Ovis aries: one gene and its partner. The protein of the gene in region 1 purifies or fractionates together with the protein of each later gene. This does not show direct contact. Links are inferred from orthologs where the notes say so. Each region holds a gene or a part of one and is shown on either strand. Other genes may lie near its edges.

The links.
Region 2: the proteins of SLC39A4 (region 1) and GOLM1 purify together in Homo sapiens (affinity purification with mass spectrometry; 3 studies listed by BioGRID and IntAct, counting the BioPlex papers as one, with this or other methods). This does not show direct contact. The link is inferred for Ovis aries from reciprocal best matches to the Homo sapiens genes SLC39A4 and GOLM1.

The regions. Positions count from the first base shown.
Region 1 is NC_056062.1:13,479,366-13,493,904, reverse strand, and holds SLC39A4 (zinc transporter ZIP4), read right to left. Parts: upstream 10,417-14,539; 5' UTR 10,331-10,416; coding exon 10,130-10,330; intron 9,683-10,129; coding exon 9,398-9,682; intron 9,027-9,397; coding exon 8,831-9,026; intron 8,731-8,830; coding exon 8,588-8,730; intron 8,496-8,587; coding exon 8,324-8,495; intron 7,972-8,323; coding exon 7,799-7,971; intron 7,690-7,798; coding exon 7,552-7,689; intron 7,474-7,551; coding exon 7,345-7,473; intron 7,170-7,344; coding exon 7,115-7,169; intron 6,985-7,114; coding exon 6,832-6,984; intron 6,451-6,831; coding exon 6,263-6,450; intron 6,179-6,262; coding exon 6,050-6,178; 3' UTR 5,904-6,049; downstream 1-5,903. UniProt on the Homo sapiens protein: Selective transporter that mediates the uptake of Zn(2+). Plays an essential role for dietary zinc uptake from small intestine. The Zn(2+) uniporter activity is regulated by zinc availability.
Region 2 is NC_056055.1:33,712,235-33,726,981, reverse strand, and holds the start of GOLM1 (Golgi membrane protein 1), read right to left. Parts: upstream 6,934-14,747; 5' UTR 6,772-6,933; intron 6,310-6,771; exon of another isoform or gene 6,149-6,309; intron 5,825-6,148; exon of another isoform or gene 5,643-5,824; intron 1-5,642.

The DNA of each region.
Region 1 (14,539 bases):
TGGCACAAAAATTGACTGATGGTAAAAAAGGAAATTCTACAGGATTTGGATGGGGATGACCTGACCCCTCCCCCATACGGGATAATGACGCGCCTGCCTCCCAGTGCTCCACCAGGACCGGAGGCCGCCTTAATGCCCCATCCAGGGCCAGGTGAAGTCCTGCAGCAGCCGCTGCTCCTCTGCCAGCTCCTCCTGAGGTCGTAGAGCCGCCACCTCGGCAGGCTTCGATCCCGGTGACAGAAGCCTCTGGCCAGCACTTCCAGGATCCGGCTCCAGCGAACCGCCCAAGCTATATCTGCCTCTCCGGTGAGTACTGACAAGAAGGGGAGGGAGAGGTTGGAATTAAGCAGAAACTGTGCTCTGCCAGAGAGCAGGAGGGAACGAAAGAGAACAGACAAGAGATTTGCAGTGCTAGCTGCTGCTCTGGGAAGGTCTATCTTGGGCCCTCTGGAAGGACAGTCCTTCAACCGGTCCCAGTGGAGGCCCCAGGCCCGTTACAGCCAAACCAGTGTGCCCGGTGCTGAGCTTTTGGCCACTAGAAGAATGAATGCCCTAAGGCAAGGAAGGAAGAGGAAGCTCCCACAGTTGTGGGGCTTGCTGACTCGGAAATTAAATAGGGCTGCCAGGGCTCAGAGATATCAGGTCCCCGAGAGCCCACGGTAACCTTAGAAGTGGGGGACCAAATCATTGACTTCATGGTGGATACAGGAGCAGAACTGTCAGTAGTAACAAAACCTGTGGCACCACTGTCCAAAAAGACTACTGCTGTAACTGAGATATCGGGAGAAGAGATGATTAAATCGTTTTGCCAGCCCAGAAAATGTCAGATGAGGGGGCACCAAGTGATTCATGAATTCCTCTACATTCCTGAGTGCCCAGTACCCTTGTTGGGAAGAGACTTGCTCTCCAAACTAGGAGCACAAGTGACTTTCTCCCCCAAGGAGAGGCCCACCTTCCAGATGGACACTATGACTTATTTGCTCTCTCTCTCAATACCACCCCAAGATGAGGGGAGGTTGCATGAGCCGCCCAAGGAAGAACCGGATGGGCCGGAAGAGCATGAGAGAGAGCTAACTCAATTATTCCCTGAGGTCTGGGCAATAGACAACCCCCTCTCCCCTCAGGTTGGCTAAACATCAAGCCCCAGTGATAATAGAACTCAAACCAGGCACCATCCTGGTTAGAAAGCGCCAGTACCTGCTATCAATAGAGGCCTGGGCTGGCATACTGCCCCACATCAATAGATTTAAACAAGCGGGCATTCTAGGAGAGTGCCAGTCGGCTTGGAATACGCCGATCCTGCCAGTCAAAAAGGAAGGAGGACAGGACTATAGGCCTGTACAGGATCTCAGGCTAGTCAGCCAGGCTACTGTGACTTTACACCCCACTGTTCCAAACCCCTACACCTTACTTAGCCTCCTCCTGCCGAGGACTAAAGTTTATACGTGCCTAGATATCAAGGATGGCTTCCTCTGCGTACGCCTCGCCCCAGCGTCACAGCCCACCTTTGCCTTTGAATGGGAAGATCCAGTCAGGTGCACCAAGCAACAGCTCATCTGGACTCCCCCCCAAGGGTTTAAGAACTCCCCAGCCATCTTTGGGGGAAGCCTTGGCTTCTGACCTGGACTCATTCCATCTGGAAGAGTATGGATGTTGGCTCCTACAATATGGGGATGACCTGCTGCTGGCTGCCGAGACCAAGGGAAAATGCTGGGAAGGGACAAAAGCACTGCTCCAGCTGCTGATGGAAGCAGGTTACTGGGTGTCGAAGAAAAAGGCACAGATCTGCAAGGAGGAGGTAAGGTCTCTGGGGTTTGTTTTAAAGAAGGACACAAGGTTCCAGGCCCTAGTTGGGTCCTATATACTGATGGTATTAGCCTGATAAAACAAGGATGACGGCTGTCAGGTTAGCCAAAGCGGAAGGGCCATCAAGACTGAAAAGGGATGGTGGGAATTGCCAAGTGGCAAATTATTGGTACCGGAGGAGCTGGCACACAATCTGGTAAGCCAAACACACCAAGCGACCCACCTAGGCCATGCTGCCTGCTCACAGGTTAATGCTGCCTCTCGGGTATTCAGACAAAAACCTCCGGGTATTCAGCTGAAAGGCACGCTGCCCTTTGAACACCTGGGAGTGGACTTCACTGAAATGAAACCTCACCGACACTGCTGTTACCTGCTGGTCATGGTATGTACGTTCTCGGGTCGGGTAGAAGCTTTTCCTACCTGGACTGAAAGAGCATCAGAAGTAGCCTGGTGCCTGCTCAGGGAAATAGTTCCCAGATGTGGACTTCCTACCAGCATTGGTTCAGACAATGACCCAGCTTTTGTTGCTGATTTAGTACAAGTAAGCAAAACTTAAAACATCAAATGGGAACTGCACACTGCATATAGGCCCAGAGTTCTGAGACGGTGGAGTGAACCAACCGGACATTAAAGAGACTCTCCAAGAGGATCATAGAGACTGATGCTCCTGGGTGGACTTACTTCCAACAGCTCTGCTCAGACTCAGGGTGACCCCACAGTCCCAAGGCTATTCTCCATAGGAAACTGTGTATGGGAGGCCCCCTCCCATAATAAAACAGGTGTCAACAAATTTGCCTCAGGTAAGAGGGGATAGGGTTTCACAGCAGATGGAACTGGGTAAGATAATAAATCGGGTAACTAAGTTTGTACAAGAAAGGGTGCCGTTCCCCCTTGGGGAATACATTTGTGAGTTTACGCTTGGTGACCAAGTACGGGTCAAAGATTGGAAACCTGATTTGCTAGCCCCTTGGTGAAAGGGCCCTTATGTTATTCAAACTACCCCACTGCAGTTAAAGTGGCAGATATTGCCCCTTGGATCCATCATAGGAGGGTGAAGAGAACATACCACGCAGACCCAAAAAACGCTGAGTGGACTGCACAGGGGGACCCCGCTGACCCTCGAGAGACTAAGACCATCCTTAAGCAGGAGGAAAAGAAGGTCCTGGACGAGCCCCTTCAGGATGAAGCCGGACAATCAACTCCTGCTGCTTGGCCTCATCAACGTGATTTTGAATTTAACTTCCGTTTCAACTCAGGGCAATGTTTTCATCTCATGCGCCCCTTCCTACGCAGACTTCCACAGCACTTCCAGCTGCTGGGTATGTAGGGCTGTGCCTCTGTCAGTGACAGATGGACTTCCTTGGTGGGTGTCACCACTCTGCCAAGGAGATTTTAAAGCACTCTGCTCTTTTCTGGGATGACAAAAAGAGACTTTCCTCTCTCTTGCCAATCATAACCTCTACTTGCTCTCTTGGTGTAAGACCTACAGTCAATAGACTCGGGGCATGGAGTTACATTTGATATAAATGCCAGTGTAACAAAAGCCAAACCTACTTGTTGGAAATCTACCCCGGGAGCCCCGGTAAATCTACCTTATTTACATGCTAGGCGGACAAGATCCGTATGAGTATGGTATGAGTATATTGCTGCCTTATTTGTACCCTCTACAGGGACAACAGATATCACGATTAAAGTAGAGGCCTTGACTAATTTCACACAACAGTCCCTCCTAGATAGAACAAAAGCCATCCAAGCCTTAAATGAAGAGCAAATCCAAATGAGAAAAGCAGGAATTCATAATAGAATGGCTTTGGACATACTCACAGCTGCTCAAGGAGGGACCTGGGCTATAATTAAGGTTGAAAGTTGTGCACACATTTCTGACTTATCTGGCGATGCATTGACTGCTTTAGATGACGTGAAAAACCAGGTAAAAGCAACGTCAAGTGAAAACACTCCTTTTTGGACTTCGGTCCTATCTTGGGTGAAGGGCGATTGGTGGAAAACTATATTTACCACTGTTATAGTTGCCTTGATAGTTCTGCTTTGTGGACCCTGGATTTTACAATGTATTATGAACTCTGTAACCCGAAGGTTGATGTCATTGTCCCAAATTGGCGGTCAGAGAGCCAGGGTGCAATATATCCCTATGAATGAAGCTCATAATATGAGTTGAGAGCATCAAGAGGGGGGAATGAAGAAGGAATTCATAGGGCCTGGACTCCATCTTAGGCCTGTTCATGCTGATCACGCTTGGCCACCTTTCCAATGGACTCTGAACTCCGTGTTTAGTGCCTATGAAAACAACAACAGAAGGATGCGACCCCCTCCAGACAGGGCAACCTTGAAGATCGTATCTAGGTTACTCATCGCCTAAGAGAAAACATACACTAATCACCCCTTCCTCCAGACAGGCCATAAATTTTTCTGTATCAATCGGAGTGTAACCTCGGGTTTATTGATTAGTGGCTAACTGTTTGACTATTTGAGCACATGAGCACATAGCAGGTGAATGATGGGGTTATTGGGATTGTATTTTCCTTGGTTTATGTAAGTCTCAAGGAATTTGGAGTGGTGGGTTCAGACACGTACTCATGGGGTATAAAAGATTTTCACAAATGCTGGTCGGGGTCCTTGGCTAAGAGGAGACTCTGCCGTGGGCCGCCGGTGTAATAAACTGCACTCCACTATCAGCATCGTCCTTCTGAGTGAGTTTGTTTCCTGGAACGCTTGGCTACAACACTCCTCCCTCCAAATCTTGATCTGGGAGTAGCAGAGGTATATCCCCTGCCTCTCACCCAACATAAAAGTGGCGCTGGTTTGTCTCCATATGGAGCTGGGGCTCCTGCTTCTGGTCCGGTCTTGTCCTAAGAGACTTGCCTTTTCTTGGTGGAAAAGTTTTAAAATATTTGTTAAAATATTTATTAAATATTTGAAATAATCTGAATTTGTGTCCAGAGATATTCAGCCAGTCATCGCTCCATTTAAAAATCAGAGATATTTTTACCCCGGTGAGAGCACATCTCCAACCAAAGGTTTCTCTGTTCTGCTTGTGCTCAACCAGGTGGGCGACTGTCTCAGAGGTTTTCTCTCTCCTTTGCCCAAACTCCACCTAATAAAGTTCTGAGAGCATGAAGAAAAAGTAATTCAAAAAACAAAAAGAACTGGAGCCAGGGCTTCCCTGGTGGCTCAGTGGCAAAGAATCTGCCTGCCAACGCAGGAGACATGGGCTGGATCCCCGATCCAGGAAGATCCCACATGCTGCAGAGCTACTAAGCCCGTGCGCCACAACTATTAAGCCTGTGCTCTAGAGCCTGGGAGCCGCAAAGGCTGAGCCCACGTGCTGCAAATACTGAAGCTCAAGTGTCCTAGAGCCCATACTTCTCAACCAGAGAATCCACCGCAATGAGAAGCACACACACTGCAACTGGGGTGTGACCCACGAGCCCCACAACTGGAGCAAGCCTGAGCAGCAGCGGAGACCCAGCACACCAAAACTAAGGAAAATCGTAAAAAACCCACATCAACCAGCCAGAGCCACCCGGAGGATGTGCCAGAGGAGGGAGTGGGCAAAGCAGGGGCCGTGGCCAGGCCACGGGCCCTCCCTGTCTGAGTCAGAGGGGCAGTCACAGCACTCACATCACAGGGCAACTGTGACGGCTAAACAGCTCAGTGACCACAGAACCCTCAGACTCAAGCCTGGCACGTGGTACATGTCCTTACTGTGCCGTGTGTCTGTGGGACAAAGGGGCTCAGCCTGGAGAGAGCCAGAGGCACTGAAGCAGCTCCGCCCTGGGAAGAGCCGCAGAAGGCCGGCAGGAAGCGCAGGAGGAGGGCCGGGGCGGGAGGTTGCAGTCCTGATTGGACACCAGGTCCTACCTGCTGCCCGAGCCCCGGACCCACTTCTCTGGGCTTCGCTTCGCATGCATCACAGACGCGGGTCTGAGGCTGGTTTCTTGGAGGGCCCTGAGTTCAACTGTCCTGACTCCCCATCAGGCACCAGGCACTGCTGTGGGGAGAGGATGCCCCACCTGTCGACGTTTCTTGGTGGGAAACGTCCTCTCCTGGGGAGGCGAGATGAGGCGAGCAGGCCGGGCTCCAAGGACAAGAGCATTTATTGAAGCTAGGAAGCAGGGCGTGGGGGAAGGGCTGGGCGCTCCCGGAGACGGTGCGTCTGAAGGGCTGCGAGCGCCCAGGGTCAGGAGCCAGAGCCAAGGGGAGGAGGGCGGGGGGGCAGAAGCTCTCAGAAGGCGATGTTATCCTCATACAGCGACAGCAGCAGCAGGACGGTCCAGCCGCCCAGCAGGCCAACGTTGTGGAGCAGGAAGAGGAGCCAGGGCCGCCGGTCGCGGACGTTCAGCATGGCCGGGAGCTGAGGACGGCGCCCGAGTCAGGACCGGCTCAGAGCGCCCGCCCAGCGCCCGCCCGGGGCAGCCCCCGCCCGCCCGGCTCTGACCATGTCGCAGAGCGCCACGTAGAGGAAGAGGCCGGCGGCCACCGCCAGGATCCAGGTCTCGCCGTCTTCGCCTACGCCGGCCGCGAGCGCAACGTAGAGGCCGATGAAGGCCGTGAGCCCCGAGGCCAAGTTCAGGAGCAGCGCGCGGCGCACCGACAGCCCCGCGTGCAGCAGGGCCGCGAAGTCCCCTGGGGAGGGAGGTGGGGGTGGTTTAGTCGCTCCGTCGTGTCCGATTCTTGAGACCCCATGGATCGTAGCCCCCCAGGCCGCTCTGTCCATGGGATTCTCCAAGCAAGAGTACTGGAGTGGGTTGCCATTCCCTTCTCCAGGGGATCTTCCCGACCCAGGGATCGAACCCGGGTCTCGTGCACTGCAGGCGGATTCTTCACTATCTGAGCCATGAGTCGCGGGCGGGGCTGGGGTCAGGTCGAGGGCCGCGCCCACTCCCCGACAGTCCCGCCCAACAGCGCGGCCGACCAGCCACACCCAGACCCCCCGCTGCGGGCAGACCACCCCCCCCCCCCCCCCCGCACCCCGCCCATGGCTGGCGGGAACCCCTCAAGGCTCACCCAGCTCGTGCGGCACCTCGTGGCAGAACACGGCCAGCGAGGTGGCCAGTCCCGTCTTCCAGGAGGACAGAAAGGCGGCGCCCACGGCCAACCCGTCGGCGAAGTTGTGCACGGCGTCGCCCAGCGTGATCACCCAGGGCAGCAGTCTCAGCTCTGCGGGCGCGGCGGGCGTGGGTGCGCGTTTGCCCCGGCCCGTTCCTCCGTCCCCCTCCCCGTCCCCGTGCCTGCGGCCGCGCACCGAGACCCTGACCCCCAACGCTCCGGGGCCTCCCTCAGGGCTCACCTGGGCTCAGCCTCCGGGGCTCCGGGCTCAGCAGCTCGGGGTCCTCCTCCGCCACCTGGAGGGGAGACCGGGTTGGTGGGCGGGCCGCGTAGATTAGACTCAGGGTGGGAAGGTGAGGAGCACGCGGAGCCAAGTCCCCAGATCAGGCCAGGGAGGAAGCCCTGGATGGGTGACTGGGAGCGCAGACAGGGCTCCGCCAGGGCGGGTGACCCCAGGCAGGGCGGGCTCACCAGGTCTGCGCGAGAGCCCTCATGGAGCTGCTTGGGCTGCCGGCGGTCGCTGGGCGCCAGCTGCAGGGACACACCGTGGCTGTGGCCACCGTGGCTGTGGCCATGGCTGCAGGCCCCATCCTTTGGGTCCTGCGGGGACGGAGGCTCAGGATCCACTGTGCCTCCGCCACCCCTGCCCACACCACGCCCAGCCCCCAAGCACCTGACCTCGGGGTCCAGGGGCAGCAAGAGGTTGAAGAGGCTCTCGAACAGGAAGAAGGCATAGAGCCCGCCCAGCACAGCTAGGAGGTGCCAGGTGGTCTGGAGCCCAGGGTCCTCCCCGTCATGGGTGTGCAGCCCCAGCACCTGGTGGGGGGGGTGGGCAAAGGACACTGGACCCGGTGCCTTGGGACCTCCTCCCAGACAGGCGGATAGAGGTTAGGGGTCAGGAAGGGCTGTGGCAGGCTGGGGCAACCTTAGGCATCAAGTGCAGGAGGGCGTCGCCGGTGAGCGCGCCCACAGCCATGCTCAGGAAGGCCTGGATGACGTAGTGGGAGGTGATCCTACAGCTGGCACAGACGAGGAGCAGGAGCCCGAGGACAGAGCACAGGCAGATCAGCAGCGTGGCCAGGGAGCCGTACAGGTACCCTGGGCAGGGAGGACAGTGAGCGCCTCCCTCCCAGCCGTGGCCCCTTGCTTTCCCGGGAGGGGCGTCCAGACCGAGTCTGGGAGGAGCAGGAGCCCCCCAAGGTTGCAGGCAGTCGGGTGCAGTCCTGGCCTCGGCTTCCTGCTGGCCCCTGGCCTCAAGCCCCCATCCTCTTCCCTCGCAGCACCCCCTTCCCTGTTGCCTCTCCACCCTGCTGCCCGGTCTGCCAGCCCTGGCCCCAGCTCTCTGCAGCCCAGCGGCTACTTTGTCCTCCCTGTTTGGTTCCATCTCCTTGCTGCCAGCCCCTTGGGCACCGCCGGGCTGGCGCTTCTAGGGAGTAGGGTGGAGACTCACTCTCAGCCTGGCTGAGCTGATCCTGGGTGGGGAGTGTGGGCTGGGGGCTGCAGGCCCCGCTCAGTTGCTGCTGGAGCAGAGCCGGGCTCAGTCGGGCCCAGTCGTCCGGCGTCACCCCAGCCTGCTCAGACATTCCGTACACAGCCATGATGTCTTGAGCACTCAGGCACAGCTGGGGTGGGGGTGACAGATCTGGTGTTCAGGGCCCTGAGCGGTCCATGGGCCCCCACCTCTTTCCGGGACTCGGGCACATGGACGGCTCACCGTGTCCCACGCGCTGGCGCTGCTGTTGGTGGTGGTAAGGGGCACGGGGCCCTGACCCTTTCCCAGAGGACTGTCGTCACTGTGGCCGTCATGGGGCTCTGCCGCTCCGCCCAGCCCCAGGCGCTCCATCAAGGCCGCCAGCTCTGGCAGAGGGTGAAAATCCGTTCCAGCCCTGCACTCCCCAGGGGGGCGGATGCTGGGGTTCAGGGCACTCCCTGCCCCGTAGCCCAGCTCAGGCCTCACCGTCCAGGGTGATGTTGGGGTTCTCGCTGCTGTGCTGCCGGAACACGAAGTCCACGAAATACTGGGGGGTCGGCAGGGCGTGGAAGCAGGCGCCGCTCCTGACATGGTCCAGCAGGGCAGCCAGCACCGGGCCGGGGCTGCCGGGAGCCCCCACCCCTGCCGCCTCCCCCAGCAGCTGAGGCAGGTCCACACAGGCCTGGGGAGGAGCCGGCCTCAGTGTCTCAAGCAGCGCAGCCACACTGGCCTCTCTCTCCGCAGTGCCCCGGTGCCCCCGGACTCCGCTGAACTCCAGGCACCGCAGCTGTCCCCTTCCCGGCCCCGCCTTGTCCGGGCTCTTCCTTGGAGCCCTGGGAGCTTTCTCAGCCCCGTCGAGGATCAGGGCCCTCTCGGGATGCCTGCAGCCCTGCCCGGCTCAGCGGTGAGTGTCCACTTGTGACCCCCAACCCAGGCTCCCCTGAGCACTCAGAAAGGTGCTGAGCCCAGCGCCACCCAAGTGGTCCCCCTTCTCTCACTCCCTCTCGGACCCTCTTCCCCTAGTGCCCCTGGGTAGCTGGCCCAGGTGCCCACCTGCTGAGAAGCGGGCTGGCCAGCGGCGCGGGCTTGGATCCGCTGCAGCAGCCTAGTCAGGGCCGGGCTCAGGGCCTGAGGGCTCTCGAGCAGGACCAGGAGCTGGTCGGCACGGGCAGCCCAGCGGCCAGCCCGGACCTCGGCGCAGGTGCCCACCGGGTCGCTGAGGTAAAGGGCGGCGGCGGCACTGAGGCGGGCGATGTGCCTAGGCTCCAGGGCCGGGCCCAAGGGGGCCTCGGGCTGCTCAGGCCTGCCCAGAGCCAGGACGTCGTCCACAGACAGGCACTGTTGGCACAGACGGGCGGGTGGGGGCCATACACGAGGGCTGCCACCCTCCTGTCCCTCACGCTGGTGCCCTCCACCGTTGGCTCGCTCACAGACCCCTGCCCTCCCCCGTGACAGTCAGGCACACCCACGGAGGGTCCCCCATCCCAGGGAGGTTTCTGCGTGGAACCATTTTAAATTTTGGGGTGGGGAGAGGGGGGTGCTGAAGGGGTGGGAGGGCAGCCGTAGGATCCCAGAGCTGTACCCCCCCACCCGGGGAGCTCAGAGGGCTCTGAAAGGGAGCAGAGGAGAGTGGGCTTGGGCCTGCGGGCAGGGCCCGGCATCAGGCACCGCGCGGCCCGCCTTCTGGAGTTTGCCCGGGCCCTTTGCAGCCGGCCTCGGCCTTGGGGTGGAGCGGCGGGCTTGGGCTGGGGCCGGGCCGGAGGACCCGTCGGTTGGGGGTGTTACCTTTCCACACGGCCCGTCGGCACAGTGCACACGGGCCGCCAGTGTATTTAACAGGCCGCCCAGCGCCACGCGGTCCAGAGCGCCCTGGCCTGAGGACAGCAGGGTCAGCAGACGAGCAGGGGTGTTCGTCGTCCCCGACGCTGCCAGCGCGGCCAGCACAACCAGCAATGGCCCCAGTCTGGGCCGGCCCAGGAGCGCCATGCTGCAGCAGCCCAGTGCCTTGAGCTCAGGGTAGGCCGTGCTCGCCTGTGTGGCTGCGGGCCGCAGGGGCTGCCTGATGCTAGACTGGGGCTGGGCCGGGACGGCCCGCCCGGCGAGGCTCTCCAGGCATTTCCTGCGGGGCCCTGTGATTGGCTGCCAAGGCGTTGCCGCAGGTTAACCATTCCAGTGGGAGTCCTCCCTGAGCCCGGTGCTGCTGCCCCAGGGTGAGGCCGGGGTCCCTGGGTGGATGGGCTTGGCTCACCCCTCTGCTTCTTCAAGGGTCTTGTTACTGAATGCAAGTCTGTGTGCAGGACACATGGTGACGTTGAAGCTTGCAGCAGAGAAAGGTTTATTGTGGTGCCGAGCAAGAACAGGTGACTCATGTTCAAAATCCCTTAAATCTCTGGATGGCTTTGGGGGGAGTCTGCAATAGGCAGAATTTGGGAAGAGGGCTTTCTCATAATTGGTTGGTGGAGAGGTAGCGGTGGTGCCCTGGGCTCCCTTGCTAGGCTGGGACCTTAGTCCTGGCAGAAAAGCTCAAGAGACCCTGCCCCAAAGCTGTAGTTTCTCAACTGCCCCTCCTTGGTTTCTGTGTCCCGCCCTTCCCAGATTAGCAACTATTTGAACCTGACCTTTGGAATTCAGGAGAGGTCTTAGGGGACTGAAGGAAGCCTGTTTCCTACAAGGAGAAATGGAGGACCTGGAAAGGATTTTACTGGGAAGGGCCCTACAGGGTGCAGTTCATTTTCCATCTCCGTGCCCCGGCCCCCTTTTTAACTTCTCAATCTTGAGAACAAGTGTTGGACAAAAAAGGAATGACATTTTGTGTACAGAGGTTAAGCATAGACTTGGCAGAGGAACTTGCTTTTACGGGGCCTCGGTTTCTGTCCGGGTTGGCTTCCTGTGGCCCTCTCGCTAGGGGCTGCCTCCAAGCCGAGGGCGTCTGGGGCACAGGTTCCAGGAGGCCACTGGGGCTGTCCCCCACCCCACCGGAGAGCTCCAGCGCAGCTCGGCCCCCCTCCCCACCCCCACCCCCCCACCGCTGCAGCATCTTGCCCCTCAAGGCAGCTCAGACACCGCGCAGAGCCCTACCTGGGGGTGGGGTGTGGGTCCTGAGCTGTGTTGAAATTCTCAGGGTGGACTTGCTGGGGCCCATGTGCGGAAAGCAGGAGAGACTGCATCCTGAAGCCTGTCATCCATCTTAAAGAGAGGATGTGACCTGGGCCTGAGCCCTGCCGGAGAGTGAGGAAACCATTGCTAGTGAAAACCAGGTTTCCTGGAGGCTTCCCTGGTGGCTCAGAGGTTAAAGCGTCTGGGAGACCCGGGTTCGATCCCCGGGTCAGGAAGATCCCCTGGAGAAGGAAACGGCAACCCACTCCAGTACTCTTGCCTGGAGAATCCCATGGAGAGAGGAGCCTGGTAGGCTACAGTCCCTGGGGTTGCAAAGACAGGACTGAGCGACTTCACTTCACTCCTTCCGTACAGGTGACAAACGGAGATTGTAGTTGAGGCCAGGCTGCCTGTTAGGTTAACCATGGAGACATCCCCCCTTGATATATAATCATTGTTCCCCCCTTTAGTCTTAATTGTTTGTTCTCCTAGCACCTACTTGTTTTGAAACTCAATCATATGCAACATAGAGGTTGCTAACATGTAACCAGTCGCGTAGTGGGGGGTATGAAACGGGGCCTCTCAGAAACATCACGGTCCTTGTTGGGAACAGATCCCCGTTGGACCCCCTGGCGTAATAAACTGTACTCCACTGTCTTGAGTGTCCTCCGAGGTGTGTTTTTGACTCCGGATTCCACAACAGAATCAGGGGGAACTGAGATGAGGTACTGAGTCATACTCCCTCTCCGGCCTCCAGGGAAAATCCCCGGGAAATGGCCAAAGTGCCACATAAACAGAAGGGAGCAGGAGCCAGGCTTCTGCCCTGGGCACTGGTCACTCCACCTGGGAAGGGGCTTGGGGGTGGGGAGAAGTGTGGCTCCCAGCCCTGCCCCTCCCTGCGGGCTCTCACTCTGGCCTTTGAACCCCTAGGCCTTATCTCTGCCTAGTTGGCAATCTGGGGAAAGGGGCAGACCGCGGGGAGCCAGTCGCTTCCGCCCAGGCAGGTCTCAGGGCAGCCTTGCCTTCTAGAGGGAGTGTTTAGGTGGCCCCTTGCATGCCTGATTGGACAGACCCCTCTGTGGGGTGTGGTTGGGGTGGGGGAGGAGAAGCTCTAAGAGAGCTGGGAGCCCAGGCCTTGGGACTCTGTCCCAGCGTCCCCTGCCACCTGGGGCAGGGCACCTGGCCAAGCAGGAGCCATGGGCTGAGTTCAGGCGCAGTCCTGCCCCTCCCTCACTGCAGGGTGACCTTGGTGGGCTTTGATGGGGTATGGGGAAGTGGTGGACTTGGAAAGAGCCTGAGGGTTCCTGGACCCCTGGGTCAATTAGGAAGGGCCCCCTCACACAGTTGTGAAGTCCATGGGTCAAACTATCCCTTTTCCTATCCCACCTTGCCACGGCCATTGGGCCGGCCGGAGCTGAGCCACCTCATCCTGCACTCTTCGGGCCTGGAGAGCTTCAGGGAAGAGGTCTCAGCGCAGACGTCTGGTCAGCCCCCCAGGTCCGGTGTGCAGGCCTGACCCCACTGGCAGGCCCCCGGGTCTCAGCGCCCCTCTGTGTGGGCCCACGTTTCCCTGCTTCATGTTTGCCCCAGCCCTGCCTTCCTAGCCCAGTTCTGCCAGAGCATGTCAGCAGCTTCCCTGCACACATGCCTGTCCACCCTCAGTGCTGGGCAGACCCCCAGATCCCTCCTGCATCAGCCCATCCAGAATATCATGTTCACTGCATGATATTCAGAGCAGCCCTAGAGCCCATCCCTGGATGGAGAGAAAATGGCTCTAGACATTTCTAAAATGTCTGGATCATCATTCTCCATTTTTGGCTGCAAAGAATATAATCATTCTGATTTCAGTGTTGACCATCTAGTGATGTCCATGTGTGGAGTCTTCCCTTGTGTTGTTGGAAGAGGGTGTTTGCTATGACCAGTGTGTTCTCTTGGCAAAACTTTATTAGCCTTTGCCCTGCTTCTTTCTGTACTCCAAGGCCAAATTTGCCTGTTACTCCAGGTGTTTCTTGACTTCCTACTTTTGCATTCCAGACCCCAATAATGAAAAGGACATCTTTTGGGGGTGTTAGTTCTAAAAGGTCTTGTAAGTCTTCATAGAACTGTTCAACTTCAGCTTCTTCAGCATTATTGGTCAGGGCATAGACTTGGATTAGTGTGATATTGAATGGTTTTCCTTGGAAACAGAGCATTCTGTCATTTTTGAGATTGCATCCAAGTACTGCATTTTGGAATCTTCAGTTGACTATGATGGCTACTCCATTTCTTCTAAAGGATTCTTGCCCACAGTAGTAGATCTAATGGTCATCTGAGTTAAATTCACCCATTCCAGTGCATTTTAGTTCGCTGCTTCCTAAAATGTCAACGTTCACTCTTGCCATCTCGTTTGACCACTTCCAATTTGCATGATTCATGGACCTAACATTCCAGGTTCCTATGTTAACAAGACCAGGAGCTGACTGTGGCTCAGATCATCAACTCCTTATTGCCAAATTCAGACTTAAAATGAAGAAACTGGGGAAAACCACTAGACAATTCAGGTATGACCTAAATCAAATCCCTTACGATTTTACAGTGGAAGTGAGAAGTAGATTTAAGGGACTAGATCTGATAGATAGAGTGCCTGATGAACTACGGACAGAGGTTCGTGACATTGTACAGGAGAGAGGGATCAAGACCATCCCCAAGAAAAAGAAATGCAAAATAGCAAAATGGCTGTCTGAGGAGGCCTTAAAAATATCTGTGAAAAGAAGAGAAGCAAAAGTAAAGGAGAAAAGGATAGATATACCCATTTGCATGTAGAGTTCCAAAGAACAGCAAGGTGAAAAAAGAAAGCCTTCCTCAGTGACCAGTGCAAAGAAATAGAGGAAAACAATAGAATGGGAAAGACTAGAGATTTCTTCAAGAAAATTAGAGATATCAAGGGAACATTTCATGCAAAGATGGGCTCAATAAAGGACAGAAATGCTATGGACCTAACAGTAGCAGAAAACATTAAGAAGAGGTGGCAAGAATACACAGAACTACTACACAAAAAAGATCTTCATGACCCAGATAATCATGATGGTGTGATCCAGAGCGAGACATCCTGGAATGTGA
Region 2 (14,747 bases), on another chromosome or scaffold:
GCATGGTAACTACAATAATACCATATCACATATCATAAAGTTGTAAGAGAGCAGATCTTAAAAATTCATCACAAGAAAAAAAAATTGTAACTATGTGCAAATTATTAGATTTATAATAGATTTATTGTGGCGAGCATTTTGCAAAGTATACAAATAATGATCTTTACGCTGTATACCTGAAACTAATATGTGATGTCAATTATGCTCAATAAAATGTTTTAAAAAGAAAAAATGTCAAAATTCATGTGTATATTTAGTGCTATGGAGTAAAAATACCAAAGAGTGAGACGGATGAGTGGAAATGAATGAGAAACAATTCCATTGTGTTTCTTCCAGCACTTGACTTTCTGCAGAAGGGCCAACTCCCCTGTGGACGCCACAGCTACACGATAGCAAGTGTTCCCAAATTCCTCCTCTTGTTTGGGAGTCAGCAAGCTGCAGCTTCAGGGCAGAATCCTGCCAGCCACCTGTCTTTGTACACTGTCTAAAAGCTCAGGTTTCAAGCTTTTTAATTGAAAAAAAAAAAAAAGAATAAAATTTCATGACACTAGAAGTACATGGAATTAAAATTTCACTGACATAAATAAAGGTCTGTTGGGACACAGCCATGACCATTCATTTACATATTGTCATGACTGTCAGGCTATGAGAATTGTGTAGCTGTGACACAACCCACTGGGCTTGCAGAACCTAAAATACCACCTGACTCTTCACAGAAAACATTTGCCAACACTTGCTGTAGTTCAACAGTTCTTAAAGTATGGTCCCTGGACCAGCAGCATCAGCATCACGTGATTATCAAGTTCTCCAGGTGATGCTGATACAGGTCAAGATTGAGAACTGTGCTCTCCAGAGCTCACTGGACAGGTCTCACAAGTGCCTCTTGATCTGGTCACACTCAATTATTTTTAAGAAGCAGAAAGGCATGTTGGAGAGGGTGCGTTATTTATCTTTGGGGAAACATTTCTATACTGTTTAAACATTTCCGTACTGTTTAAAGGTTGAGTTTGGATTCCCCAAACTTCCTTGGCTTTTGGCTACAGTCCACCAGGCCCTTCTGTCCACAGGATTCTCCAGGCAAGAATACTGGAGTGGGTTGCCATTTCCTCCTCCAGGGGAGATCTTCCCAACCCAGGAATAGAACTTGGATCTCCTACATTGCAGGCAGATTTTTTACTGTCTGAGCCACCAAGGAAGCCCCAGTCAGAATGAAGTGATCACTATTTCCAGAGCAACATGGCTTCTACAGGACCCTCCCTCACTGATATAGAAAACAGAGAGGAAAGATAAGGTATCATCTACCTGCTGCATAGATATAAATGATGGAGAGCATTTTGATGGGGTAGACCCTCCAGTTCTGGCAGCACTGGAATCAGAGAAATAGCTTAGAAAAAAATTTTTTTCTAAAATCATTAGTATATTAAAATTTTGTCCAAGAATTCACCAAGGCAATTCTTTTAAAAACTAGTAATAGCAAATGAGCCATCTTGAAATTCCAGCCCAGCTGAGCCTCAGAAGACTGCAGTCCAGTCAACTCACAGAACCAGAAGCAATAACTAAACAATGGTTTTAAGCTTGCAACTGATCTGTTATGGAGCAACAGATGATCAAAACATAAACTGTTACATGAAAAAAGTTGTAAAATAGTAATGTTCATATCCCATTTTTGTTGAAAATTTTTAAAAATATACTCAATAAATCAATCGTCATGAAGTTGCTCAGTCGTGTCTGACTCTTTGTGACCCCATGGACTGTAGCCCACCAGGCTCCTCCATCCATGGAATTTTCTAGGTAAGAGTACCGGAGTGGGTTGCCATTTTACATTTCTCTATAATAGAAAATGTACAGCAAGTGCTTATAAGGAAAGATATTTACAAGTTGGAGCAAGAGAGGAGGAGGTAGAGAGGAACAGAAAGACTTCATTTTTTGCTTTATATCATCTTTTTTTCCCTCAAGGAGCCTATCTTTAATGCAAAAGCCAAACAGTAACAATAAAAAATTAAGATGCTAGGAAGATATACAATGGTAACATTAGCAAGTTTTGAAGTTATATTTCTAGCATTCCCAGATGAAATCACAGTATTTTACAGCTTCCTCTAAAACAAAACAATGATACCATATGTATGCATTCTGAAGCAGAAAAACAAACTGAACTCATTCAAATACATTCCCAGCTCTCTTCTGTGCTGGCCCCCACCACTGGGGGCACTAAGAAAACCCAGGTTCCTGTCTTGAGCCTGGGCAGAAAACTGAGAGGAAACACACGGCAGCCCATTTCTGAGCTGGCGACGCGGTGGTTCCTCATCTCCTCCCAGCCTCCTGGGCTCCCCTGTAAAGGCTTATCCCTGTCTTCCAAAGCCAGTGTGGAAATTAAATGAGAGCACTTACTTGTCACCAAGCAAATACTAACTGAAAAGAACTACTGTGGTATTAACCCTTTAAAGTCTCAGTTTACTCATTAAAAAAAAAAAAAAAAAAATGGGGAGTGTGATCCATTATACCTGCATTCACAGGGTTCTTCTGAGAATCAGATGAAAGAATTACCTGAGACTAAAGTGAGAGAAACAGCTGTCTACCAGCAGGGCTTATGCAGCCCAGAAGGTATAAAAGACGCTCCACCTGGGCTGGGGGAAAAATCCTAGAAGTTACATTTATTTTTGTCCAAAAAGTAGAATAGCAACTATGTTTAGTAATGTAAATATTATACCAACAAGTTAAATATATTATGTGTACACTAATTACTTTACACTGTGTTACACTATACTAATTATATTACCATGAAATACTAACAGTGCTAATAAAAGCAGGAACTGACTGCACCCTCACAAAGTCCCTTTGTCAAGGGTCACCTGTCACCAGCCCTCTGAGGTATCCTTTGACTGGGCAAGCACACAATGAGATAGATGCACAAATTAAAATGAAACTAACCCTCACAGAGGATATGAAGCTTTAAGGTCCCCATAAAAAGCACAGATAGTAATAAATGCAAGCGCAGGGGGTTAAGAATGCACTTCCCACCCTGAGTCAGCTTCATCTGAGCGACATCACAACAACGATGATATACTCAGATCTAACAAGATCCAAACCAAAAAACACCCTCAAAATTAAAGGAGTATTTGAAAGAGGGTTTTACCTCCACAATGAATCCAGCCCTAAGTGTATACTGGATCTTGAGCTACAACATCAGCTCATTTATTAATTTATAATATAATTATATAATTTATAATTATTAATTAATTTATAATTAAGTAACAAACACACATACAGAGGAGTACTAAAAACTGGTCTTAACTGAGATACAACTGACATTATGCTGTACTGGTTTTAGATGTTTATTTTATTTTATTTCTTTTTTTACTAACAAGAATGAGCAAAAAAGCTTGGAAACCACAGCAAACTATCTCATTATACAGTATTTTTACATATGTGTTCTTCCTGTCAGGCACTAGTTCATCATCAAAATCTTAGTGAGAGGAAGTTTTATTAATGCAGTCTTGAAAGAGAATAAGATTACAATGTAAAAATCTGAGAGGGCGTGCATTTTCTTTCCTGAAAGTGGGGGACAATTTCTTTGTGAAGCAAAGAAAAGCTCTCTGGGAATTTTGGAAATAATCCTTAAACTTCAAGCCAAGACTCTCTTTCAATGTAATTTCATCAGTAACTTGAAAAAGTCTAGAAAGCAGCCACACTCTAAGACCATCCTAGGGGAGCAAGTGGAATGCCACTCACAGTTTGTTAAGGTGAAAGCCCCCATGGTGCAGCAGGCAAAGAATCTACCCGTCAGGAGATCCCCTGGAGGAGAACACAACAACCCTCTGCAGTATTCTTGGAGTGGACAGAGGAGCCTGGTGGGCTACAAAGAGTCAGACCGAGCGACTAAGCACAAGGGCATATCAAGACTATTCCTTCTACTTTTGTGAAGTTTTAGAAAATAATGCTAACCAAGTTTTTCTTTTAAACAAAAAGAAAAATGATTTTTTTCTTATCCCAATTTCCCATTTCAAGTCACTAAAAAAGAAATCAATCTTTTCTAAGACAACTTATTTTTTTCCCTGTGGCTCAGATGGTAAAGAATCTGCCTGCAATGCAGGAGACCCGGGTTCGATTCCTGGGTCGGGAAGATCCCCTGGAGAAGGAAATGGCAATCCACTCCAGCACTCTTGCCTGGAAAATCCCATGGACGGAGGAGCCTGGTGGGCTACAGTCCATGGAGTCACAAAGAGTTGGACAAGACAGAGCGACTTCACTTTCACTTTCAAAGCCTCAGGCACAGGGCCTCTTCTCCAGTCCCCGCCTCCCCTCACAGCCCCTCCGGGACTGTTTAAAAGCAGGGCCCCACCACCTCATGTTCCCTTCCACTACACTGCCAGTGATGGGATCCTACTCGCTGCCCAGAATGGTGAGTTGAAAGAGACACCCCACCTTCCAACTCTTCCCACACATGCAGTTTCCCCAGGCTCTGCCTGGCTATCCTTTGTGCTTCGGATGCAGAAAGCTGGCCTGCAACGTTCACAGGATCAGCAGTTCCCTCCTGGCTGGAGGAAGGTAGCCACATAAATGGACTGAAGCTGGCCCTGGGTCAACCATTCTCATTGCTGTTTCAGCCCCACCCCTGAAAAAAACAATATACATGCAAAATCTTTTCATTCCCCCATCAATAACTGGACCAGCAATTAGAAAACAAATGGCACCCTTATCTTCTAACAGCAATATTCCCAAATGCTGACCTCCACTCCTCACCCCCAGCATTCCTGCCTCTCATTCTTGGTCTTTCACTTTCGAGCAAAACCAATGGGGAGAAAAGGTGACATCTTCACAGGAGAAGAAAATATGTCTTGAAGGGTTGTTTTCTTTAAACATCCTAAGAATTCAATGTCTTTTCACCACTGACTCCTTAGAAATTGAGTTCTGACCTAAAAATCGCAAGTCTTAGCAAGCTATTCGTTTCTAGTTACAAATAAACTTATTCTTCACAGTAGCCTGCCCTTAGCTTAATCTTCTCTAACATAGGGAGGAGGAGCTATGGATGGATGCTCTAGGAGACCCACAAGTACCAACAAGGGATTCAACTTCTCAGGCCCCATGCTACAAAAAAAATTCAGAAATACTAAAACTGCCCAAATTTGAGTCAATCTCGGGGCCAGGAGCCAAACAGAGTCACTCTAAACCTGTTAAATATGTAATCAGGCTACTGGACTATTTTACTCTGCCCCTAGGAATGCCCCTCAATATTTGCATTATTTAGGGCAATTGGACCTTGGAGACCACAAACCAGGAAACTCAAAGCCGTGAAAGTCACACAAGTTTGGTTTTGCAGATTCGGGAATGGGATATCTCAAGCATCACCACGACTTGCCGAATGCAATGATTCTAAAATTCCGCTAAAACGAACGCTCATCGAAACAGGTATTTTGCCTATTTTGTTTTACCGAAAGACAGTCATTAAAATATTAAGTAAGATGTGACATATAAAGAGGATGTAAACCCAGGAGAATATTTTTACAGGAGAACAGAAGTTTTGTGGATCCTCCACGCCGCCAAAGGTGGGAAATACAGGTACAGAAGGAACCCGGAGCATCCCTGAGACGGGATTAGGAAGAGCTCTGGCAGCTCGCGGACCGAAGACCCGGTGTCAAGCTCACCTGCCAGGACGACACTGCTGCCAACGTGGGCACCGCGGCGGCGGCTCGGGGCGGAGGGGGAAAGAGACGAGCGGCGCGGCCAGCCAGCCCTCCCCGCGTGCCAATCACGCCCGCACCGCTGCCACTAGCGCCACTTCGGGGATGCTCGCTTTTGACTCTGGGTGCCGACGCGCGTGACACAGCTAAGAACAAAAAGAAAGGCCCTGCATCGCCCCAGACCGGCCTCCTCCGGGGAGCCCAGCAACGGAGCGGAGCCTGGGAGGCGGAACCCGGCGGGTCGGGGCGGCCCCGGGAAGGAGGCTCCAGCGCGGGGAGGTGTGGGGCCGGCCTCGTGCCCGCTCCGGTAAAAGGCTGCGGGCCGGGCGCCAGCCGGGGGAGGGCGGGTGTTTCCGGGGCCCGGCGCGGGGTCCTTGGGCGCGGGCCCGGGGCCGTGGAGGGACAAGGAGAGAGAAGGGGGCCGGGGCGACCGGGGGGAGAGCCGCCAGGCACGCGCGCCGCCTGCTCACCTCCTGCCGCGGCTCCGGCGGTCGCTCGGCGCTGCCGGGGCCCGGCTCCCCGCTCGCCCGGGCAGCTCTCCCGCCGCCGCCGGCCTCGTGCTCCCGTCCGCCCGGGGCAGCGTCCAGCGCCGCCGCGTTCGCGGCCTCCGCAGCGGCGAGTCCCCGCCTCTGGCCAGCGCCCGCGGCGCGCGGAGGAGGCGGCCTCGGGAGCGCGAGGAGGCGAGGCCGGGACCGCGCCCGGACTCTCGGCCCCGCAGTGCGCGCGCCCTGGCCCGCGGCCGCGGAGCGGCGGGAGCTGGAAAAGCCTGGTCGCGCCCCCTCTCAACCTCCTCCCCAGCTCCTCGCCGGCGGCTCCCGGCGCGCCTTCGGGACTGGGCTCCGACAGACCCGCAGAGCGGTCTCGATGCTTTTAAAGGAGGTGAGAAGCGGCGGCGGAGAGAAGGGCCCCGGGAGACCGCCCTGCCCCCCTACCCCCCGCAACGTCCCCCACCTCCGGCCCGGAGGAATTTTCCGGAACCCAGAGCCGACCACACCCATCGTCACACTCCTAGTCTTGCTCACGTAGTCCCGGCCGAAACTGCCCAGGATAGAGGGGCCAAGGAAAAACAGGTATTTAGGGAATATTTACTCACAAATTTGTCCTTTTTCTTCCACCAGCCCTTCCCAGGTGGGCTTGATCTCCCTACAGCTATTATCTCTCAGCGCTCATTTTTTGGGACACTCCAACTGTGGGCAGCAGAGAAAATCCGAAGGCTCTTGGGCGCTGCCCAAACGAGATCCTCTAGGACTTTCTCAGTATGGAGCCTGGAAATCTGAATTTTAAACAGCACCCAGGTGACCTTCTGGCACACGGAAGTTTGAGAAGCACTGTTGAGCCACACCTACCTGAGAAGATGCCGAAAAACTAGTGACGCGTAGAATAACCATATGAGAAATGGAATATTTCCTGCCATATCAGGAAATAAGACTGTCATCGCCATCAGTGGTTGCAGCCTGACAACGTGAGCCTGTATTCTAAGGGAACACAGGGAGAATACCAGCAGACTTCGCTTGCTCCCTACAGTGAGCCCAGGGGAACTTGGGATGTGAAAACACAGATCCCATAGCTGAGATGTATATAGAAGAAATTATTTCAGTGAGCTGAGACTCTTGCATTGTCTCATTCACAGAAAAGCACAAACTTTCTTAACTTGGGATATCTGCTTTCTTTAATTAACAATAATCTGATGTTCCAACTAGCTGCCCTTTGTTGCAGAACTTCTATAGAACCTGGCTCTTCCTCTCACCTTCTCACAGCAGTTGTCTCAGAGTCACTGTCTCCCGGACTTGAACTCCCTGAATTCCCACCAAATAAAACATAACTCTCAACTTTTAGGTTGTGAATATATTTTAAGTTGGCCTGTACTAGGAAATTATAAAGCAATGATTCTTAACCCTGGTAGCATGAGCCAGACGTTCAAATTAGCTGGGAGATTTTAAAGTATTTAGATACCAGGGTCCCACCTCTAGAGTTCTGAGTCTCAACGTTAGTATTTTTGTTTTAAAGATTGAACACGTGGCCAGAATTGAGAACAATTTTCCTAGAATCATCTCTTTTTGAACCTACCTAGCTCTAGTATCTGAGAAAAGAACCCCCTGGCTCATCCCTCCCAAACCCCAACTCCAGAAGACAAATGGGGACACACACAAACTCCTGAAGGAACTCTCACAGTCAAAACTGGTTTCAACCAGAACAGACGCCTTCAAAAATTTAAGGTTTCCTACTACCACCTGAGCGTGAATCTCCTTAAGGGCAGTTAGGAGAGGTTTTATGAGTCAAAGCCTGAGTCGTGAGCTGACAATAATAGCCCCTTTAGAGTGATATTCTAGTATATTCCAAAATGATGTTTCCATTGCCCGTTGTTAGACTGCCACCTGGTCAAACTAAGTGTTCAAAACCTGTGTGTATGTGTTGACCATCAGCTCTGGCTTGTCCTTGGTCTTGACTTGCAACTCCTGCCTCTGATCCCCTACCAACCTTCAGTGACCATAGTCAGGGTTTTAGAACAGGCGCAGTGTCTTCCCTTGTTACTCATTTTGGCTCTCCTAGTAACACTTTGCCTTCTTAGACTGTGAACCATAACTTCCATCTCATTTGCCTCTAAGTATGTTCCCATTAGTGTCTGTGATTTATCAATGGCTAATTAGTCAGTGACTAAGCCAGTGATTCTTAAACACTTTATAGAAGAGGTCCATATGTCTAGGTACTAGGGAAGCTGGCTAAATTAACTACATCTTTACTGAGAGGGAATCATCCTTTCCAAGTTTCATGGGGATCTTTATGGCAAAATTTGGAATTAGAGTAGTTCTTAAAGTTCTTTTAAAATGCAGTATTTATATATGCAGTGTTGTATATGTGAATTTGGATTTACATTGCTTATAAAGTGCTCTATTTCCTCAAGGCTTCTCATCCAGAATGTTTAACCTAATCAGTTGCTCGCCCTAAAAATTCAAGTGGATAGATTGATTTGATTAAATAAGGGCTTCCCTGGTAGCTCAGATGGTAAAGAATCTGCCTGCAATACAGGAGACCGGGGTTTGATCTCCAAGTCAGGAAGATCCCCTGGAGAAGGGAATGGCAACCCACTCCAGTATTCTTGCCTGTAGAATCCCATGGACAGACCTTGAGGTCACCAAGAGTCAGACACAAGTAAGCAACTAACACTTTCACTTTCAATGATTAAATAATGTGCAAGGGGCTGTTGTGGTTGGTTGTAGTGCACCTGTGTGTTGTCTGTTTAGTTTTCTTTCCGCTAGCTAACAGCACGCTATGTTCATACAGGAACCTACCTCCTACTCTCCAAGGGATACAGCCTTAGTTGGACTGTCAAAGTGATGTCCTCTCTAGCTCAAGGAATAGACCATTGTATCAGTTTTCTATTTGCTACCCTAGCAAATTATCACAAACCTAGAGGGCTTCCCTGGTGGCTCAGAGGTAAAGAATCTGCCTGCTAATGCAGGAGATGCAAGTTTGACACCTGGGTCAGGAAGATCTCCTGGAAAAGGAAATGACAACCCACTCCAGTATTCTTGTCTGGGAAATCCCTGGGACAAAGGAGGCTGACAGGCTACAGTCCATGGGGTTGAAAAGAGTTAGACACTATTTCCGGAACAACTAAGTTGTTAACAACAACAATAGAGTTAAGATGACAAAGTTCTGTTGGTTAAAAATCTCACTGAGCTAAAACCAAGATGTTGGAGGGGCTGTGTTCCTTTCTAGAGACTTTTAGGAAAATCAACTGCATTGCTTTTTCCGGCTTTTAGAGATTGCTTGCATTCCCAGTACGTAAACCCCTTCTTTCATTTTACAAGCAAGCAATCTTCAAAATCGGTAACATCTTTCTAATCCTGCTTCCATAGCACATCTCTCAGATCCAGCTGGGAAGCTTTCTTTGCTTCTAAGAACGCTTGTGATTGCATGGGTCCCACCCAAATAATCCAAGATAATGTCTGTGGCTCAGACTCTTAATTTAATCACATCTGCAAATTCTCTTCTGCCATTTAAGGTAACATTTACAGGTTTCAGGGATTAAGACGTGAACATCTTGAGAGGCCTTTATTCTGTCTGCTACAGACCCCTATCCTCAGCTGATTCATTGCACTCTATTCCTGGGATAAAGCAATGACCCAAAGACGAAAAAGGATCCGTGTGCACGTATGTCAGTGATGGTACCCATCATTTTTGGCATGCAGATCTGTGGGGCTGGTTCCTATGCTCCTCAAAAGCTGACTTTTCAGTTTATCCTGCAATTCTGAGGCTTTCCCCATACCTAGAACTTGCTAGAAAGAAATGTAGTACATAACAGAACAACAGTGTAGAATCATTTTCAGAGTTCTTGGTCACAAACAATAGAAAGAGCCTTTGTAAATCTTCAGGAAAAGGAGTTGATTGGACAAAGGTCAGGGTCTCAGGGCATCAACAGTGAGAATCAGTGAAATCATAAAAATTGATTTTCAATCAGTTTGGAAACCCTGAATGCTGGAGAGGGCTAAGCAGCAGAAATCACTGAAAAAGTAACACAGCAGATAGAGTGAGTTTGGTATATATGCCACACTGCAGCATCTGTAGGAAATACGCCCTCCAACTCACCCCACTTGTTTGCAACATTGCTCAAGACACAAAGTGTCCAGAGGGAGCTTCCAGTTAGAGGGATTTGGTTCTATGTCCATTTACCAGGCTAACTGGGACAACTCTGGTTTCTGTAGCTGGACGTGGCCACTAATTCCACAAAAGGAAATTGAGGTAATGCCTAAAAAAGAGGATTCTGGCAAACAATCAGCAAATGTCCCCCACAAATATCCTAAGAGAAATTCAAAGAGCTGTGGAGCAAGCAGAATTCATGTCGGTCTAGGAAAATCGGGAAAGACTAAACAGAAAATTGGTGTAGGACAGGCTGTCCAACAGAAATAGATTTCAAACCACATATATAATTTAAAATTTTCTAGTAGCTGTATCTTTGGGGTCGCAGAGACTGAACTGAACTGAACGGGACATTTTACACCCAATAAAACGTTTAACAGAAAATGAATACACCACTTCAGTTTTTAAATTTTTATTTATTTATTTTTGACTGCTCTGGGTCTTCGTTGCTGCCTGCCATTTTCTCATTGTGGTGGCTTCTCTTGTTGTAGAGGGCCAGCTCTAGTGCATGGGTTCTGTGTCCGTGGCATGCAGGATCTTCCCAGAGCAAGGATCATCCCATGTCCCCTGCGTCAGCAGATGGATTCTTAACCACCAGTCCATCAGGGAAGTCCACTTTTTTTTTTTTTTAATTTCAGTATAAAAGGAAACATAAAGAAGTCAGTTTCTCCTCGGCACCAGCCACATTTCAAATGCTCAATAGCTACATGTGGCTAGTGGCTACAACATTAGACATGGAAGGTGTAGAAGGATGATGTATCCACTTGGATCTTATCTAGAGAGAGAAAAAGTACACAGTAATTTAAACAGGGTAAATTTAAACATAAAGATTCTTTAACATAGCATCACAAGGGTCTGGCAGGTAAAAAGCAAAGAAAACTATAAATAATGTAGGAATGGGTCTTCCCTGGTGGTCAATGGTTAAGAGACCACCTTGCAGTGCAGAGGACACTGGTTCAATCCCTGGTCCGGGATGATTCCGCATGCAGCAGAGCAACTAGGCCCACGCGCCGCAACTACTGAAGCTTGCTCGCCTAGAACCTTGCTCTGTGCAATGAGAAGCCATGCCAACGAGAAGTCCACACCTGACATCAAAGAATAGCCCTGGCAGCCACAACTAGAGAAAGCCCATGTGCAGCAACAAAGACTCACCACAGCAAAGAAATAAAAATCTAACTAAATAAATAAACCTTTTAAAAAAGAATATAGGAATGGAAGGTATTCTAAGCAGCTGTTATCTCCTGCTCTCAGATCTGCCTGTCTCTCCACCAACCACATGAATAAGACTGAGACCTCTGTGGAGAGGGCTATGGCTCCCTAAGTGGCAGAAAAATTGCTGTGTTGTCAGTAGAATTTGCTGAAAATCTGCCCTCCAGAACCTTCTAGAAATCACCTTCTAAGCTGCCCAGGAAAGCTGTTCATGGGTTGGTTTCTCACTGGAGGTGCTCTCTTACAAAACTGCTCCGGGTGCCCAGGGAAGCTGCAGTTGCTTGGTACTTGTGCTGCAGAGGCTGGGTGCTGCAGGAGACTGGCACAGGCCTGGAAGGGTGGAGAAACACCATTGTCCAGCATGACGACAAGACTCAGAAAAGAGTGAAGCAGAACAATGGGATTAGTTCAGGTAGGGGAGTCATTGCAGATGGGAGGGTAGGATAGAAATGTAAGATAGAAAGGTAGACCCAGGGGTTCTACCTTAGATGCAACAAGCCATTCTATACAATATTGTAATTTTTCCCAACTACCAGTCTGGTCACATCACTCCTCCCTTTAATAACTGCCCATGGCTTTTCCTGGCTTATATAAATCTTAGCGTTCTAGGCTATGTGCCCAAATTTCCTCAAACCAAGCCAGGCCGCTATCCTGCGCTCCCCATAGACCAGCTCCCCATGGACTTTGCAATTCTGCCTAGAAGGTCCCCCTTCCCTTTCTTACAACTCAGCCCGAAAGTCCCAGTCAGAAAAACTCTCCTAGTACCCACCACATTCTGCCCACCCCACAGTTGTCCTGTCCGTAAAGTTCCTGATGGAAGGGACTCTCCTCTGTTAGCGTGGTCTCTTCCCCAGCACTTACACAGTGGGTGCTAGATGAGTACTCCAGACTGACCGCAAGCTCCTATGAGTAGCACAGGGCCCAGGACATTGGAAGCACTCTCCAAATACAGAATAGAATAGAATAGGAAGTCCTTGTTATAAGCCTCTTGCTGTGTTTGCATTTTAGCATCCATTTTTTCCTTCTTCAGGTACCTAGTTCTCACAGACTTTTCAATCCTAAATGCCTGTAGTAAACTGAAAATCCAAAGATGTATTTCAGTGTCCTAACCCCAATAATCTGTGAATATTGCTTGATATGGCAAAAGATGTGATTAAATAAAGATCTTGAAAGGAGGAGGTCATTCTGAATTTTCCATTTGGGCCTGAAATGCCCAACTGGCATTTCAGGACAAGTGTCCTTATAAGGCAATGGCACCCCACTCCAGTACTCTTTCCTGGAAAATCCCATGGACAGAGGAGCCTGGTAGGCTGTAGTCCATGGGGTCAGGTCACTGAGGGTCAGACACAACTGAGCGACTTCACTTTCACTTTTCACTTTCACACATTGGAGAAGGAAATGGCAACCCACTCCAGTGTTCTTGCCTGGAGAATCCCAGGGACGGGGGAGCCTGGTGGGCTGCCGTCTATGGGGTCACACAGAGTCGGACACGACTGAAGCGACTTAGTAACAATAGTAGTCGTCCTTATAAGGGAAAAGCCGAGGGTGTTTGGACAGAAGAGAGAAAGAAGCTGGAGAAGGACAGAAACTGGAACGATGTGGCCACAAGCCGAGGAGTGCCTGGAGCCACCAGAAGCTGGAAGAGGTAAGCAATGGGTTCTCCCCTAGAGTCTTTGGAGAGAGCATGACCTTACCTTCACGACCATATCAGAATAAAACTCCTGTTGTTTGAAGCCAACCGGTTTTGGTACTTTGTTATGGCAGCCCCCAGGAATTAATACAATGTCCAATTCCACGGGTCATAGTGACTGCTTCATTGATGGGCACAAGATCCAATCAATTCAATGAAACTGTGTTATAGGACATTTGCTGGAGCTACTGGAAAACAGAAGGCTTTTTTCCACAAAGGCGACCCATACTAGGAAAAGATAAGCCTAGAGCTGCTTGCAGAGTTGGACACTACTGAAGCGCCTTAGCATGCATGCAGGCATTGGAGAAGGAAATGGCAACCCACTCCAGTATTCTTGCCTCGAGAATCCCAGGGAGAGAGGAACCTGGTGGGCTGCCATCTATGAGGTCACACAGAGTCAGACACGACTGAAGCGACTTAGCAGCAGCAGAGCTGCTTGGGGCCCCCACGTGGAGACACCTGCCTAATATGTTGAAAAAGACAGAGGCAGAGTCTAGCGTTGATGATATCATTTGATCTTCTGGACCCAGCCATAGCTTATGCCAGTCCTATCCCTGGACTTTTCAGTTACATCCGCCAATTAATTCCCCATTTGACTTAGCCAGTATGAGCTGGATTCCTGTCACAAGCAGCCCAAAGCATTCTGATTCACAGAGTTTTTGTTACCTGGGTAAGGTTGTCAGAGATATATGAACTGTAGATAAACAATAGGTAGGTTTTTAGTATAAGTGTGTCCTATATACTGAATGGGTATGATACCGTGCACATATATATTTGTTATTTAACTGAAACTTAATTTAACTTGGCATCCTGCGTTTTTGGTTTGGGGGTGGTTTATCTTTTATAAAAGTTTGGCAATCTTATGTTGGCAGAAGGGCTTTTATTGATCATCTGAAACCTCTGAAAGGCCAGCTTACTATCATACAAAGGAAGGTAGGGATAATCTTTATTCTAAGTGTGTTGTGCTTAGTCACTCAATTCTGTCCATCTCTATGTGACCCCCAGAGAAGGCAATGGCACCCCACTCTGGTACTCTTGCCTGGAAAATCCCATGGATGGAGGAGCCAGTAGGCTGCAGTCCATGGGGTTGCAAAGAGTTGGACACAACTGAGCGACTTCACTTTCACTTTTCACTTTCATGCATTGGAGAAGGAAATAGCAACCCACTCCAGTGTTCTTGCCTGGAGAATCCCAGGAACAGGGGAGACTGGTGGGCTGCCTTCTATGGGGTCGCACAGAGTCAGACACGACTGAAGTGACTTAGCAGCAGCAGCAGCAGCTATGTGACCCCATGGACTGTAGCCTGACAAGCTACTCTGCCCATGGGGATTCTCCAGGCAAGATTACTGGAGTGGGTTGCTATGTCCTCCTCCAGGGGATCTTCCCAACCCAGGGATCAAACCCAAGTCTCCCGCATTGCAGGCAGATTCTTTACTGTTTGAGCCACCAGGGAAGCAGATGTCTCTTTTTGAGTAATTGTCTTCAGCCTCCTATATTGACTGGAGCTGTAAAAGACTGTGATTATAGCC